Linked DNA regions of Xenopus tropicalis. Each later gene encodes a partner of the first gene's protein in a complex. Links are inferred from orthologs where the notes say so. Each region holds a gene or a part of one and is shown on either strand. Other genes may lie near its edges.

What was found. Proteins that work in one complex are often made in the same cells at the same time.
Region 2: the proteins of arrb1 (region 1) and grm3 are in contact, whole or in part, in a cryo-EM structure (PDB 9II2), measured with the Homo sapiens proteins. The link is inferred for Xenopus tropicalis from reciprocal best matches to the Homo sapiens genes ARRB1 and GRM3. Residues at the interface, in NP_004032.2 of Homo sapiens: Gly5, Thr6, Arg7, Val8, Phe9, Lys10, Lys11, Ala12, Ser13, Pro14, Tyr21, Arg25, Arg65, Glu66, Asp67, Leu71, Gly72, Leu73, Thr74, Phe75, Arg76, Lys77, Arg103, Leu104, Lys107, Pro133, Arg236, Phe244, Asn245, Thr246; in NP_000831.2 of Homo sapiens: Pro605, Lys608, Ala609, Ile669, Phe670, Asp671, Gly672, Val673, Lys674, Asn675, Ala677, Gln678, Arg679, Lys681, Phe682, Ser684, Cys761, Pro762, Glu763, Phe765, Val834, Val835, Thr836, His837, Gln855, Ser856, Ser857, Ala858, Ser859, Thr860.

The regions. Positions count from the first base shown.
Region 1 is NC_030678.2:175,781,263-175,788,447, reverse strand, and holds the start of arrb1 (beta-arrestin-1), read right to left. Parts: upstream 4,272-7,185; 5' UTR 3,928-4,271; coding exon 3,782-3,927; intron 1-3,781. UniProt on the Homo sapiens protein: Functions in regulating agonist-mediated G-protein coupled receptor (GPCR) signaling by mediating both receptor desensitization and resensitization processes.
Region 2 is NC_030679.2:81,081,532-81,087,941, reverse strand, and holds part of grm3 (metabotropic glutamate receptor 3), read right to left. Parts: intron 2,667-6,410; coding exon 1,600-2,666; intron 829-1,599; coding exon 654-828; intron 1-653. UniProt on the Homo sapiens protein: G-protein coupled receptor for glutamate. Ligand binding causes a conformation change that triggers signaling via guanine nucleotide-binding proteins (G proteins) and modulates the activity of down-stream effectors.

The DNA of each region.
Region 1 (7,185 bases):
AGGGGTAATTATATCTTAGTTGGGATCAAGTACAGATACTGTTTTATTATTACAGAGTAAAAGGGAATCATTTAACCATTAAATAAACCCAATAGGGCTGTTCTGCCCCAATAAGGGGTAATTATATCTTAGTTGGGATCAAGTACAGGTACTGTTTTATTATTACAGAGAAAAGGGAATCATTTAACCATTAAATAAACCCAATAGGGCTGTTCTGCCCCAATAAGGGGTAATTATATCTTAGTTGGGATCAAGTACAGGTACTGTTTTATTATTACAGAGAAAAGGGAATCATTTAACCATTAAATAAACCCAATAGGGCTGTTCTGCCCCAATAAGGGGTAATTATATCTTAGTTGGGATCAAGTACAGGTACTGTTTTATTATTACAGAGAAAAAGGAAATAATTTTTAAAAATTAGAATGATTTGCTTATAATGGAGTCTATGGGAGATGGCTTTTCCGTAATTCAGAACTTTCTGGATAAGGGGTTTCCGGATAAGGGATCCCATACCTGTACTAAGTTAGCAGGGCCCTCCACCCTAGGGAGCCCCAATTATTTACCCACTGGGTAGAAGCATATCTACCCGGGGGGGGGCAGAACCCCTAGGCTCAGCCCCCCATGGTATGTGCATGGTAAGTTTCAGTGTGGAAATCTTGCCCACTATAGTTACCCCACTACCATTGGTCACCTAGACCCCCAGGGGGAGGATCCTGCCAACATGCGAAATGGGACCCCAATGAGAACACACACAGACACACCCCATATCCCAGTCCCGACCCATAAAGCTAAAACTGTGCCAACATTGCACCCAAATTTCACCCACTCCAAATAACCAATAACAATTTTATTTCTCTTGGGCCCCCCTGTGCCTCTTGATGGTACAAATATTGGGGGGCCCGGGGATTATGCCCTCACTTCCCTATGATGAAACCCTATGTGTCATGTTTAGCGCTGGGGGGTTTGGGCTTCAGGGACTGAGCCCCACACTGGGATAAAGGGAACACACCCGGGGCCCCTCCGGTATAACGAGGGTTAATGCGCCACGCCTACCGCCGTGAATTTGCTTCCAAACGCTAACAATGAGCAATTAAACTCCTCTTAATCCTCAAATATTTTGCCAGGGTGATAAGGAATCCTGCCAGCAATCCAACACCCGATGCCAGCTCTGTGCCCACATACAGTGCCAAGGTGCCGCCATGGTAACCTAATAAATGCACTCATATGACTGGCGGGGGGGCAAAGGCTCACCTGGGGGGGCAGTTATATAACAACTGGTTGGACTCCCCCTGTGCCCCCCTAATGGCCATGTCCCAGCCACTCCTGATTATTCCCTGACCATGTACTCTCATTGGCTCACCCAAGGTTAAAGGGGATACAAACCCTGCTGCCCAGCGCGGCTCAACCCAACGTTACTCAGTTGTTACTGGGCTACAAATCCCACAATAATGTAACATATAATGAAGCTTGGGGCATGCTGGGAGCTGTAGTCCAGCAACATCAGGGCTGTATTCTTAAAGCAATATTGCACAATAAAACTTTCCCCCAAATCCCCACAGCCAGCGACTGCTTTAACATGCGAAAAATCCTCCAATGAGAATCCCAGCTGATGTGAGTAAATCCGGCTCCCTGTTCTCTGTTCCTGCAATTGGAGTTGGGAGCAATAAGCACAGTTTCCCAGCACTGAACAAGTCTGTCCCTTTATCCCCATGTCTGATTCCTGTGCCATATAATGAGGGGAGAAAATGCCATCATTATCTCTATATGTAAGGTACCAGCAAGGGGCCTGACACAGTGCTGGGAATCAGCATTCTCACTGGGCAGTTCTTTTGCATTTATAATCAACTTATTTATCAGTACAATTCTCATTGGGGAATTTCCTTGCATCTGTAATGATGGTTTTTGGCAGCTTCTATAGCAAAACTAGGGGGCGCCGTGGGGCAGCATCATGGCTGGGTTTATATCACCATTAAATATACGGGGGGCAAAAATGCAGGATATTTGGCAGGTCCGACAGATGACTGGGCCACATGCTATCAGCAGGGCTTTCCCCACAATGGAGCCTGGGTTATTAGCCCCCCCGCCCACACACAGGCCCTGAGCCCTAGAATCCATGTAACCAAGGCTAGGTACATACATAGCAAAACCCCCAGTCTGCCCTGTTACCCTCTTACCTGCCCAGACCCCTGCCCATCTCACCAGCAAACCCTGTACCTTTTGCAGTCCTATGACAATGGCTATGGCCCCGTCCCTGCACTGTGATTGGGCCCCAGACCAGTCACCCCCCTCCCCTGCTGCTGAGTCCTTAATTGCACCCAGAAAGATACAAGTCACAGGGCCAATGGGCTCCCAGACTTCGAATAGAGGTTTTGGGAGCCCAATTATAGCACCCATGGGTGCCTGGTTATACAACTACAGCCTTGGATGGTATTAGAGCACCTAAATATCCAGGTCACTTCCAGTTGCCCCGGATTGGGCCAGCGGATAAGGAAGGTAATTACCCCAAAGGCTTCATTGCTCAGCCAAAGCGCCTTATATATTTATCCCACTCTCCCTAACGCTAATCCTCTTATCAGCCCTAATCTAATTATATGACCCCCACCCCCCCCCCGCCAGATTGCACATCCCACTGTCACTCAGCCAATGAATTGCCTCCATTGTGCTCTTGGGAACCAATGACCCATTGCTCTGTGCGGCCACAGTTTTATTGTTACAGCTCTGTAACTTTTCTTTCTATTCAGTCCCACTTCTATTCGTATCCCAGTCTCTCATTCCAACCACTGCCTGGTTGCTAAGATAATTTGGACCCTATCGACCATATAGCTGCTAAAATGCCAAGAGCCCCATTAAATGACATTATTGGCCGCACTATTGTGACGTCATTTCTGTATTCCAAGAGCTTCCCAGTGACACAAGTCCTTTAGGGGTTACGTGCCCAATGGGTTCCACTGGGAATGAGGTGCCAGTGCACAAAGGGTGCAAACTCTATACCAGAACAGGGCAGGGTTGTGCCAAGTTACGGGGCCCCCCTGCAGCCTATTACATATTTCTACATTTCATAGCATCCCCCCCCAGTTACAGCCTGTACACCTACCATCATCTTGCCTTACTATACACATTATGCCATAGTTAGAGCCCCTTCTCCTGGCACTGTAGCCCCTATGCCGAGTGCCATCTTGCCTACTATACACATTATGCCATAGTTAGAGCCCCTTCTCCTGGCACTGTAGCCCCTATGCCGAGTGCCATCTTGCCTTACTATACACATTATGCCATAGTTAGAGCCCCTTCTCCTGGCACTGTAGCCCCTATGCCGAGTGCCATCTTGCCTACTATACACATTATGCCATAGTTAGAGCCCCTTCTCCTGGCACTGTAGCCCCTATGCCGAGTGCCATCTTGCCTTACTATACACATTATGCCATAGTTAGAGCCCCTTCTCCTGGCACCACCTTACCTTATTCTGCACACTGTCCAGCACTGTAGCCCCTATGCCGAGCCCCATCTTGCCTTACTATACACACTATACTACAGTTACAGCCAATCCCTGAGGGTCCCTTTGCATACAGCTTGGGGGCCACACAAACTGCAGGGCACTAAAGGCAGCCCGGCCACAGAAAGAGGGGGCACTGCAAGCACCGGGCATTAAGGGGAATAACAGTGGGATTTGCTCATTAGAGGTAACACCCCGGGGGTCATGTTGGCACGAGGGGGCATCGCTGTGGGTGATTCCTTGTGCCCAGTCCGACACACATTGTGCCACAGACCTGTCCTTACTCACAGAAATACGTTCTCCATTGGCGCGGCCTTGTGGGCTTCCAGCTCCCCACAGCGGATTCCCAGCGGTGCCACCACGCAAGCAGGAACCGACTCCTCCAATACGGTTCTGATCCTTAGGTACGGGCTGTCAATCCACATGTAATCCATCTAGGCACCGGCATCACTGCAGCCCTGCCAGCCAGCGAGGTGTGCGACGGTCCCTTCCCTCTCAGCTCTCTCCCCCCCACTGATTCCTTTATTCTCTCCAATGGCAGCGACTACCCACGGGCTGGAATCTCAGCCGCTCTCTCGCTCTCTCGCTCTCTCTCAATCCAAGCAGCTGCATCAAAATTCTCCCATTTACTGTGTTATGCCCTGCGTGCAAGTCTGATTGGCTCGTGTCGTCATCGGCAGTACAGCGTGCCGCGGGCACAACACCAGCATATCAAATCTCTGCAGCCTCCCGCGGGTATGGGTGAGACCCTCCCCAGCCAGCGGGAATGCAGAGACAGAGATAGGGGGCCCAAATATTCCCCCCAGCAAAATGGCAACAGCAAGATACAATGGGGATTGTAAGATATGATGGAGACAGTGGGATAGGAAGAATGGTAAGATAGGGCAATGGTCAATAGGGCAAGAGGGCGACAGTAGGTCATGATGGAGACAGTAGGGCAAGATGGGGACAGTAGGACAAGATGGAGGCAGTAGGGCAAGATGGAGACAGTAGGGCAAGATGGAGACAGTAGGGCAAGATGGAGACAGTAGGGCAAGATGGAGACAGTAGGGCAAAATGAAGACAGTAGGGCAAGATGGGAGACAGTAGGGCAAGATGGAGACAGTAGGGCAAGATGGAGACAGTAGGGCAAGATGGAGACAGTAGGTCAGGATAGAAGCAGTGGGAAATGATGGAAACAGGACCAAAATAAAGAAAGTATGGCAAGATGCTTTAAAGGTGAATTAGCTTTGCTTGTACAACATATTTCCCAGGGCAGCCCAGTAAGCAGGGTTCCTATCTCTGCTGTTGGAATTAGAGTGTAGGCCTGGGGGAGAGGTGCATGTAGTCAGGACCAGAAACAGGCAAAATAAACAAAACAAAACACAATTCAAATAATAGAATACTTTGCCTTTAAATCATACAAATACAAAAACACATACAAGAGTATTATAAAAACAAAACCCCAAGTCTGGATGTGGGCCAAAAGCATCAATCTCTGGAGAAAATAGAGAAATAAATTCCGTTGAGGGGTTTGGGAATAGTCAGGGCGAGTGAACGTAAGGTCACAATCCATGGAGATGAATGTCTGGTTTATATTTTGGGAATAAAATCAAAGCCGCTAAATGTCATCCAAACGGGGAAACTATGGAGAGATATGCTGAAGTAAATTCAGCAAAAGAGCTCAGTGCCAGGCAGTGACTGCAAAAGCCAACAACAACTTCTGTTCCACATGCCATGGAGTTTTGCCCATAAATGCCATGTTGTGAGGCCTGGTCTAGTACACGGAAGGTATAAGCACCTTTGGGTGTCACCCCAGAAGGACCACCCAAAGGGAAACTATGGAGAGATATGAAAATAACACAGAAAAATACTCAGCAGAAGAGCTCAGTGCCAGGCAGTGGCTGCAAAAGCCAACAACAACTTCCGTTCCATATGCCATGGAGTTGTGCCCATAAATGCCATGTTGTGAGGCCTGGTCTAGTACGTGGTATAAACACCTTTGGGTGTCACCCCGCAAGGACCACCCAAAGGGAAACTATGGGGAGATATGAAAATAACTCAGAAGTAAACTAAGCAGAGGAGCTCAGTGCCAGGCAGTGGCTGCAAAAGCCAACAACAACTTCCGTTCCATATGCCATGGAGTTGTGCCCATAAATGCCATGTTGTGAGGCCTGGTCTAGTACGAGGAATAAACACCTTTGGGTGTCACCCCGGAAGGACCACCCAAAGGGAAACTATGGAGAGATATGAAAATAACTCAGAAGTAAACTCAGGAGAGGAGCTCAGTGCCAGGCAGTGGCTGCAAAAGCCAACAACAACTTCCGTTCCATATGCCATGGAGTTGTGCCCATAAATGCCATGTTGTGAGGCCTGGTCTAGTACGAGGTATAAACACCTTTGGGTGTCACCCCGCAAGGACCACCCAAAGGGAAACTATGGAAGGACCAACAGAAGTGGGTGTATTAATGCCCCTACCATATCAGAGAGTTCATTGGGTGCCAGCCTAGTGCATTGACCCAACCTGATGCGGGAACCCAAGGTCCAGGGTGGCAGTAGCTCCAGGGTTCCCCAGTGTGAATGGGCGCAATGGGGGCAAGAGGGATGTCTCGGAAAGCATGGGCAAGTGCAGGAACATGTTCATGCCTCCATGTATTGTCTCATTTCCCCTCTCCTGCCAACAAACACCAGTGGGGTTTAAAAACTGGGGGATAAATATTTGAGTGTTTCCATCGGCCTTACAATGACAAACATGTCTGAGGTCACAAAACAAATGCGGAAAGATTAACACCGCCGTCCAAAAAGGAATAGACTTGACTAAAGGCCACTGCGGAAGAACAACATGCAGGTTCTACAGGCTACTGCCTAGAGATCTATTGCCCCCAGTCGGGGCTGTTGGTTGCTAGGAACAAGTTTAGGGGTCCAGGGACTTGTCTTGTTGCTGAACAAACACCAAGCGGCGAGAGGGGGGCGCCGACGCTCAGCAGAGCCCGGATCGTTCTGATGTATGAGGCTCATTTCTCGTTGGTTTGAATTTCTAATTAAAAGTAAATCAAATCAGTGGGAACAAACAGGCAGCGAGGTCAGGCCAAGATTGGAGTAAGACTCGTCATAAATAGGATTGGGTGGGACACTCTATTGATTCATACAAAAACAGCATAGTAATACATTAAGCTGTGCAGAAGTAGGGAGTAATTAGCGAGTGTGCAGTAGGAGTAGGTACAAACAGCAGGACCAGCATGGAGTAGGGCAATAGCGTATGGGTTGAGGAGAGCACAGAGAATTCTGCATGAGTGTGGATTATAAGTAGTCATGCATAGGATGGGGTAATTAGTATGGAGTTAGAGTAATAATGCACTGCATGGGGTTGGATAGAGTTAGTAGTATGCATACTCCTGTGTAGGGAAGAGTAGAGGGTATCCCGCATAAGATGGGGTTTGATAAGAGTATTAGTGACTCTGCATATGATGGAGTTACACAGAGCTGGGGAAAGAGTAATCCTTATAGGACAGGGTGGAGTAGGGAATGGAGCATGCATGGAGTTGCACAGAATATGGAGTAGGAGTAATTGCACATAGGATGGGGTTGGATAAGACTATGGGGCTGAGTAGAGAATAGAGTAAGAGTAGTTATACACAAGGTGGGGTTGTGCAGACTATGAAGTAAGAGTAATCCTAATGAGTATGGGGCTGAGGAGAGAATGGAGTAAGAGT
Region 2 (6,410 bases), on another chromosome or scaffold:
GAGCAATACAGTGGATACAGAAAAACTACAGAGGATAGCACAGACAGACATGCCAAACTTTTACAGCTCAGGCTATTGGGTTGTTTGAGGTATTAGCACAGACTCAGGCCTGAATTTGTGGCGAGGCCGCCCCGCAGCAACAAAATTTAGAAATTTCCCTCAAATATGGAGCAATGGGGACTTCTCCCCACTGCTCCGTATGGAAGTTTAAACTTGCGGTCGCGCGGGTTTGGGGGGGGGCGACAACTGGGGGAGCCCTAGGGGCGCCCAGATATGAAATTTGTGTATACTGACATCAGTTGCTAGAGAAAAAGCAGCACACTTTTATTGCTTTGCAGTGTATATAATAATAATAATAAAAAATAATAATTTTTTGAAAAAAATATAACATAAGCAGGTTTCAACCTCCCCCCAAAAACTAATGTGATTTCAAAGTGCAAAGCAATAACTGCCTAATCATAAACATTACATTGCTAAATGAATTGTTATAACAATAACAACTTTAATATATACATAATAGTTACACAAGAACTATTATGCACAAGGAGAAAATTGTTCACATTGTTAATATCTTTCTGCCATCAACTTTTATTACATTCCCCCAGTGTTGGCGGGCTTTGTAATTATTGTAAGCTGAATAAAAAGGTACTTACATTGTGAGTATGTGGTTGCTGTACCACTAACACTGAACCTATTTAGATGTAGTCTGTGTGTTACGACATTTTTCTGTGGTTGAAACAGGATAATATGAACTTTTGGCGCAAACAAGCACCCCAGAACTACAAAGCCACTCAGGCTTACTGAGATGCACATTGTTGTAGTTTGGACCTAAAATACAAAAAAAATGTTATAACATAAACTTCATTCATATCTATTCTGATATAGAAACATCATTAGAGTTTAAGGCTTCAAAAATACTTTAGGGCTCATTTACCATTTTTATGGCACAACTGCTCCATACACAGAGCACTTGCACCAGTATCTGGGGCGGATGTCTAACATAATGGGCAGAACTCTACTTCCTGCTTTCAGCTGTCTAAGCTGTTAGCCATCAGTAACCAGTCAGTGACTTTCGGTGGGGACATAACTGTTCAGTTGTTTGCATTTGAATCTGACCTGCGTGCTCACAAACTAACTGAACAGTTATGTCCCATGTGCCCCCCTTCCCCCTAAAGTCACTGAACAAAGAGGTTAGAGAGCTGAAAGCAGGAAGTAGAGTTCTGGCTATTACTTTAGACATCTGCTCACTCCAGCCTTCATAGATTACATTTTTGCCTAACTAACTATATTACAAATATATTTTATTTTGCACAGTCTGGCTATTTTGCCCAGTTTCATTTTTACACTGAATTGTTCCTTTAAGTCTGCTAAAAATGATTTAAGTTTTCATATTTCTTATAGTTATATGTTACATGCAAAACATTACGACTTTTAATTAGAGGTTAACATTTTCCTATGGGAAGCATGCATGTTTTTCTCATCCATAAACAACAGCATGCAGTTTATTTTGTGGCGTTATTTTTAACTGCTGGGCTCCTACAGAGATATTAGTCATAATACAGTGAGAAAAAAAGAAATAAATAGGACTATTGTACTTACTCTGTAGTCACTTGATGTGACATAAAATATAGGCAGGAAAGCAAGCCAAATAATGCAAGTTGTGTACATTGTAAATCCAATGAACTTGGCTTCATTAAAATTTTCTGGACATTTCCTTGTTTTGAAGGCATATACAGTACATAATATCACCAGGACCACATCATATGTCAGTGAAATTAGCATACTGGAATCTTTGACATTGCATTTCAATATAACAGTTTCTCTTTTTTCAGGAAGTGTATAGCGTCTTGTGCCAGGGAATTCCAACATGAGCCATACAGATACAACAACAATCTGAACTGAGATAAGACTGAGACATATGACAACTTGGGATTTGGGACTGATGAATTTTGGTCTTTGGGCACCATCCTTTACACCGCTGAATATCCTGGCAATGCGATTTGTCTTGGTCAGTAGAGCAGAATAACAAACAACAAAAGATGTTCCAAGTCCCAAACGTCGAAGGGTGCATATGACAGGAGAAGGTTTGGCTATGAAGAAAAATGTCATACAATAACACATAAAAACTCCAATCAAGAGAATATAGCAGAGTTCCCTTCCTGATGCCTTCACCAAAGGTGTGCTATTGTTTTTGATAAAGACTCCTCCAACCAGGCAAGTACATACAAATCCAAGGCATGCAATGGTCACTGGCCCTATTGCCCAGGCATCCTCCCACTTAATGTAATCTTCTGGTAGATCAAAGCAACTGGTTAGGTCAGCGGTAGGCCATCGTCCTTCCCCACAGTCAATGCATGTGAACTCATCAGCAAGGTACTCGTATTTCTCGCATGGGATACAAATCCAGCAGCATACATCTCCTGGTTGCATATTCTTCATTTCATTTGGAGCGCAGGGGTCACTACACTGTGATGTTGGAACCAAACTTTTTGACCACTGTATTATGTCAACATCCAGTGACAAGGTTTCTGCCCACTGGCCAATTTTCAGGTAGGAATATTTACCATTGTGATACTGGAAATTGAACACATTGTATAAACCAATTCCATCTCCATATGCATCAAATTTCACAATGCTGTCTGTATTACTGGGTGGTATAAAAGGAGCTGCCAAAACAAATGAGAACAAACGTTAAGTAACAGTGTTTAGGATATATTTATATATATATATATGTGTGTGTGTGTGTGTGTGTGAATGACAATTTCCTTGGTGACTAGTAAGCAACACATTCATATAGTCAAAGACAATAAATATCATAATCATTGTCTTAGAGGTGCTGTATCATGCATACATTGTTTCACTTGTTATATACTGTAAAATGTATGGTGCTCATTTACTGACAATTGGCAAAATTGGCATCTGTAAAGTAACCCATGGCAACCAGTCACTAAGTATCTTTGTTTATTCAGATGCAAGTGAAACAATGAAAACATACATTTAATTAGTTGCCATGTGTTACGGCCTGATGATAATTTGCCCAGTGTAAGTAAATGTGCCTCAGGCTTGGTGTGCATTTTCTGAAACATAAGGGAGTCTAAATTACAAATTGCTTTATTGCATCTAAATAGTGAGCAGCACCAACTACCGTACATGGAAGTGCAAAAAACGCATTTTGATGCAAGTACCATTTTATGAGTGTGGTTTAATGTACAACTCCCTGTGGGATAAAGAGAAATGAAAAGGTTAGTGTAGCTATGAGTAGATAAGCCAGTCAGAGAAATTGTGTAAAATGTGCCTCTGTGTGACACTTTGGGGCTGATTTACTAAGACACGATTTCGAATCCGAATTGGAAAAATTCCGATTGGAAACGAAAATTTTGCGACTTTTTCGGTAATTTTGCGATTTTTTCGTATTTTTTTCGTTTTTTTCGGCGTCTTTACGATTTTTGCGTAAAAACGCGAGTTTTTCGTAGCCATTACGAAAGTTGCGCAAAGTCGCGATTTTTTCATAGCGTTAACACTTGCGCGCAAAGTCGCGCCTTTTTCGTAACGTTAAAACTTAAAAGGCGCGACGTTTCGCGCAAGTTTTAACGCTACGAAAAAATCGCGACTTTGCGCAACTTTCGTAATGGCTACGAAAAACTCGCGTTTTTACGCAAAAATCGTAAAGATGCCGAAAAAATCGCAAAAGATACGAAAAAATCGTATCATTACGAAAAAAACGCAATCGGACGCATTCGGCCCGTTCGTGGGTTAGTAAATGTGCCCCTTAGTGTGATAGTTTATACATCCATACATGTGTATCTGTGTACTTTTAATTTTAAATCATTGCTCTGTTTGGGTCCCTTTTCTGTTTAGTTACAAAATGTATTATTTAAAGGGCTAGGAATTTTGGTTTTTCTGGACATGGAGTCTTTCTGTAGAGTACCATGTAATGGAGTACCATGGCTTAAGGCAATAAAAAACATAAAAAAATATGATGATGTTTTTGCATCAAAACAGATTTTATGCTAGCTTAGTTCATTTATCAGTCAAAAATGAAACATTATTTGTTAAAACTTCGCTCTATGGGAAATGGTACTACTGTATTTTTGAGCATTGCAGCTAATGGGTTCTATAAGAAATCCAATGTCATAGGAATGTACAGCACTGCATATTCAAATAGCAGTCTATAAATAGAAATCCCATGCCTGTACTATAGAAATGTACAGCATTGCATATTTAAATAGCACTCTATAAACACAGTGTATATGTATGCATACATACTATTGAAACATAAGATAATAAAAAAGTAATAAAAATAAAAAATAAAAAAAGTTATATGCAGGTGATAATGTAGTGTGAATGTAGCTTTTCATTCCCACAGTTTTTATTTTCTTACCACTTAGCTCTAATGCATTTAGTTCCATATTTAAGAAAAGAAATAAATTTGACTAAGAACTGTCACTTCCAAGTTATCAGTAACATAGCCCTTACTGTTGCTAAGACAGCTCTCTAAAGACAAATGCTACACAGACTGCGTACAGTTATTAGATGTATAACTGAAAATTGCATTCCATTCAATCTGTCACATCATCTCCAATCATATGATTACACCAAGACAGGTGCATCACTACAGAAGACTCTCAAGAAAACATGAAATTGTGCATATATTGTAAATATAGAAATGTATAAGACAAAAAGTAATGAATGAATTGAATCAATTTCCTCCGTGGCAGAAATGACAGGTGTTGAGCAGCAGCTGAAGAAATATTGGGAATTAAAAGTCTCTGCTCCAGTTCTGCACCCCTTGCTGAATAAAAAAAATCTGTTGTAAGGCGCAGACCACAGTGTCAGTTCCACCCTGTTTTCACAACCTGAATGCAGATGGTGTTGTATTCATCGAGTAGCCATAAGCCCCTGTGCTCCATTGTTTTCACTTTGCACACTGCCTTGCAAATAATGAGCCATATAAAAGACTTCACTAACTCCACTAAAGTGGCATATGCACTAAACGGGTGAAAAGCTTTCACCTGAAATTTATGCCATCTCTGCATAATTGTATATGTGGCAGATTATGTGAATCATTTTATGCCAAAATGTTATTTTTTACCTCGAATTAACCATCACTTGTTCATAGATCTGTCCCTAAATCAGCGTAGGGATCACTAAACATAAGTTGACTTGTAGCTTTTTACCTTACTAGGGTGATCCTCTGGGCTAATACCCTGTGTTTGTCCATCACCACTTTGTAATGCAATCTTTTTCTGCCAGAATGTTTCCTGTTAGCTTGAATAGGTTACGCCACAAATATAGCAATATGATGTTATGGTGTTGAATACGGTGATCATGCAGAATAAAAAAATACACGGCTTTATAAATATGCCATTTTCTGGCATAAATAGTATGATAAATAGGACCAAAGCATTTGATTTGATTGTTATCTTAATTTATTTTTTTGGAAACATAATTAGAAGTTATGGACTTCTTTATCATGTCATTTGCATTGTCTCTTATACCCAAAGATGTGTCTACCTAAATAAAATCTATCTATCTATTTATCATCTATATCTATCATCTATCTATCATCGATCTTTCCCTCTTTCTTTTATTTATAGACTTTGGGATACTATACTATATTACTATATAATGGTAACCCAGCTTCTTTTTAAAACAGTTCAAAAATTGCAATTAGATCAGAGACTTGTATCTTTATAAATGTATGCATGTCATTAGGAGAACATTTAGAAGAAAGCTGCCATCAGCCTGTATGCCTGGGGTTATTCAGAACCCCAGGATCCAGTAAAGATACAGCACAGATACAGCATCTGTAAAATAAAACTTAATGGGCAAGGCTGCAAAACAATTAGAAACATAGAACAAGGGGTGGGGAGGGGGTGTATTATGGAAATATTCTAACACTACCTTTAGGCTGTTTCTGTGATAATCATTTCTTTGTTTTCCTATCAGTTAATAGAGAGAACCCGGATTCACTGGAAACTTATTATATAAGCATATAAAGAATTTGTACATATTTCAATTTTCACACAATTACATGAATGCAGCGATTCTGAACACACACTATGGCAAGGCAGAACACAGGAGACAAAACATCATGTGCGAGAGAGTATTTTCAGATCTGATGATTTTAGGGTTTTCGTGGCTAATAAATATGATCCTTCTATTTATTTGGAGTTATTCCATTTGTCTGCATTTATTTGCAGTATCTTAGACTCATACATTTATTGTAGGTTATCATCTTGTGTAAAAATATCTATCCAAGTCAAGACGTTTTTTAACCAGATACCAGATACAGCAAAAAAATGTCACCCCTTTTCTTAAAGTTCTTATAAGCTCAGCAATTCTCTAAGTACCTAAGCTAATAAGATATGTGATAGTAATCCCTCTCTTAGGTTGTACAGAAAATCCGC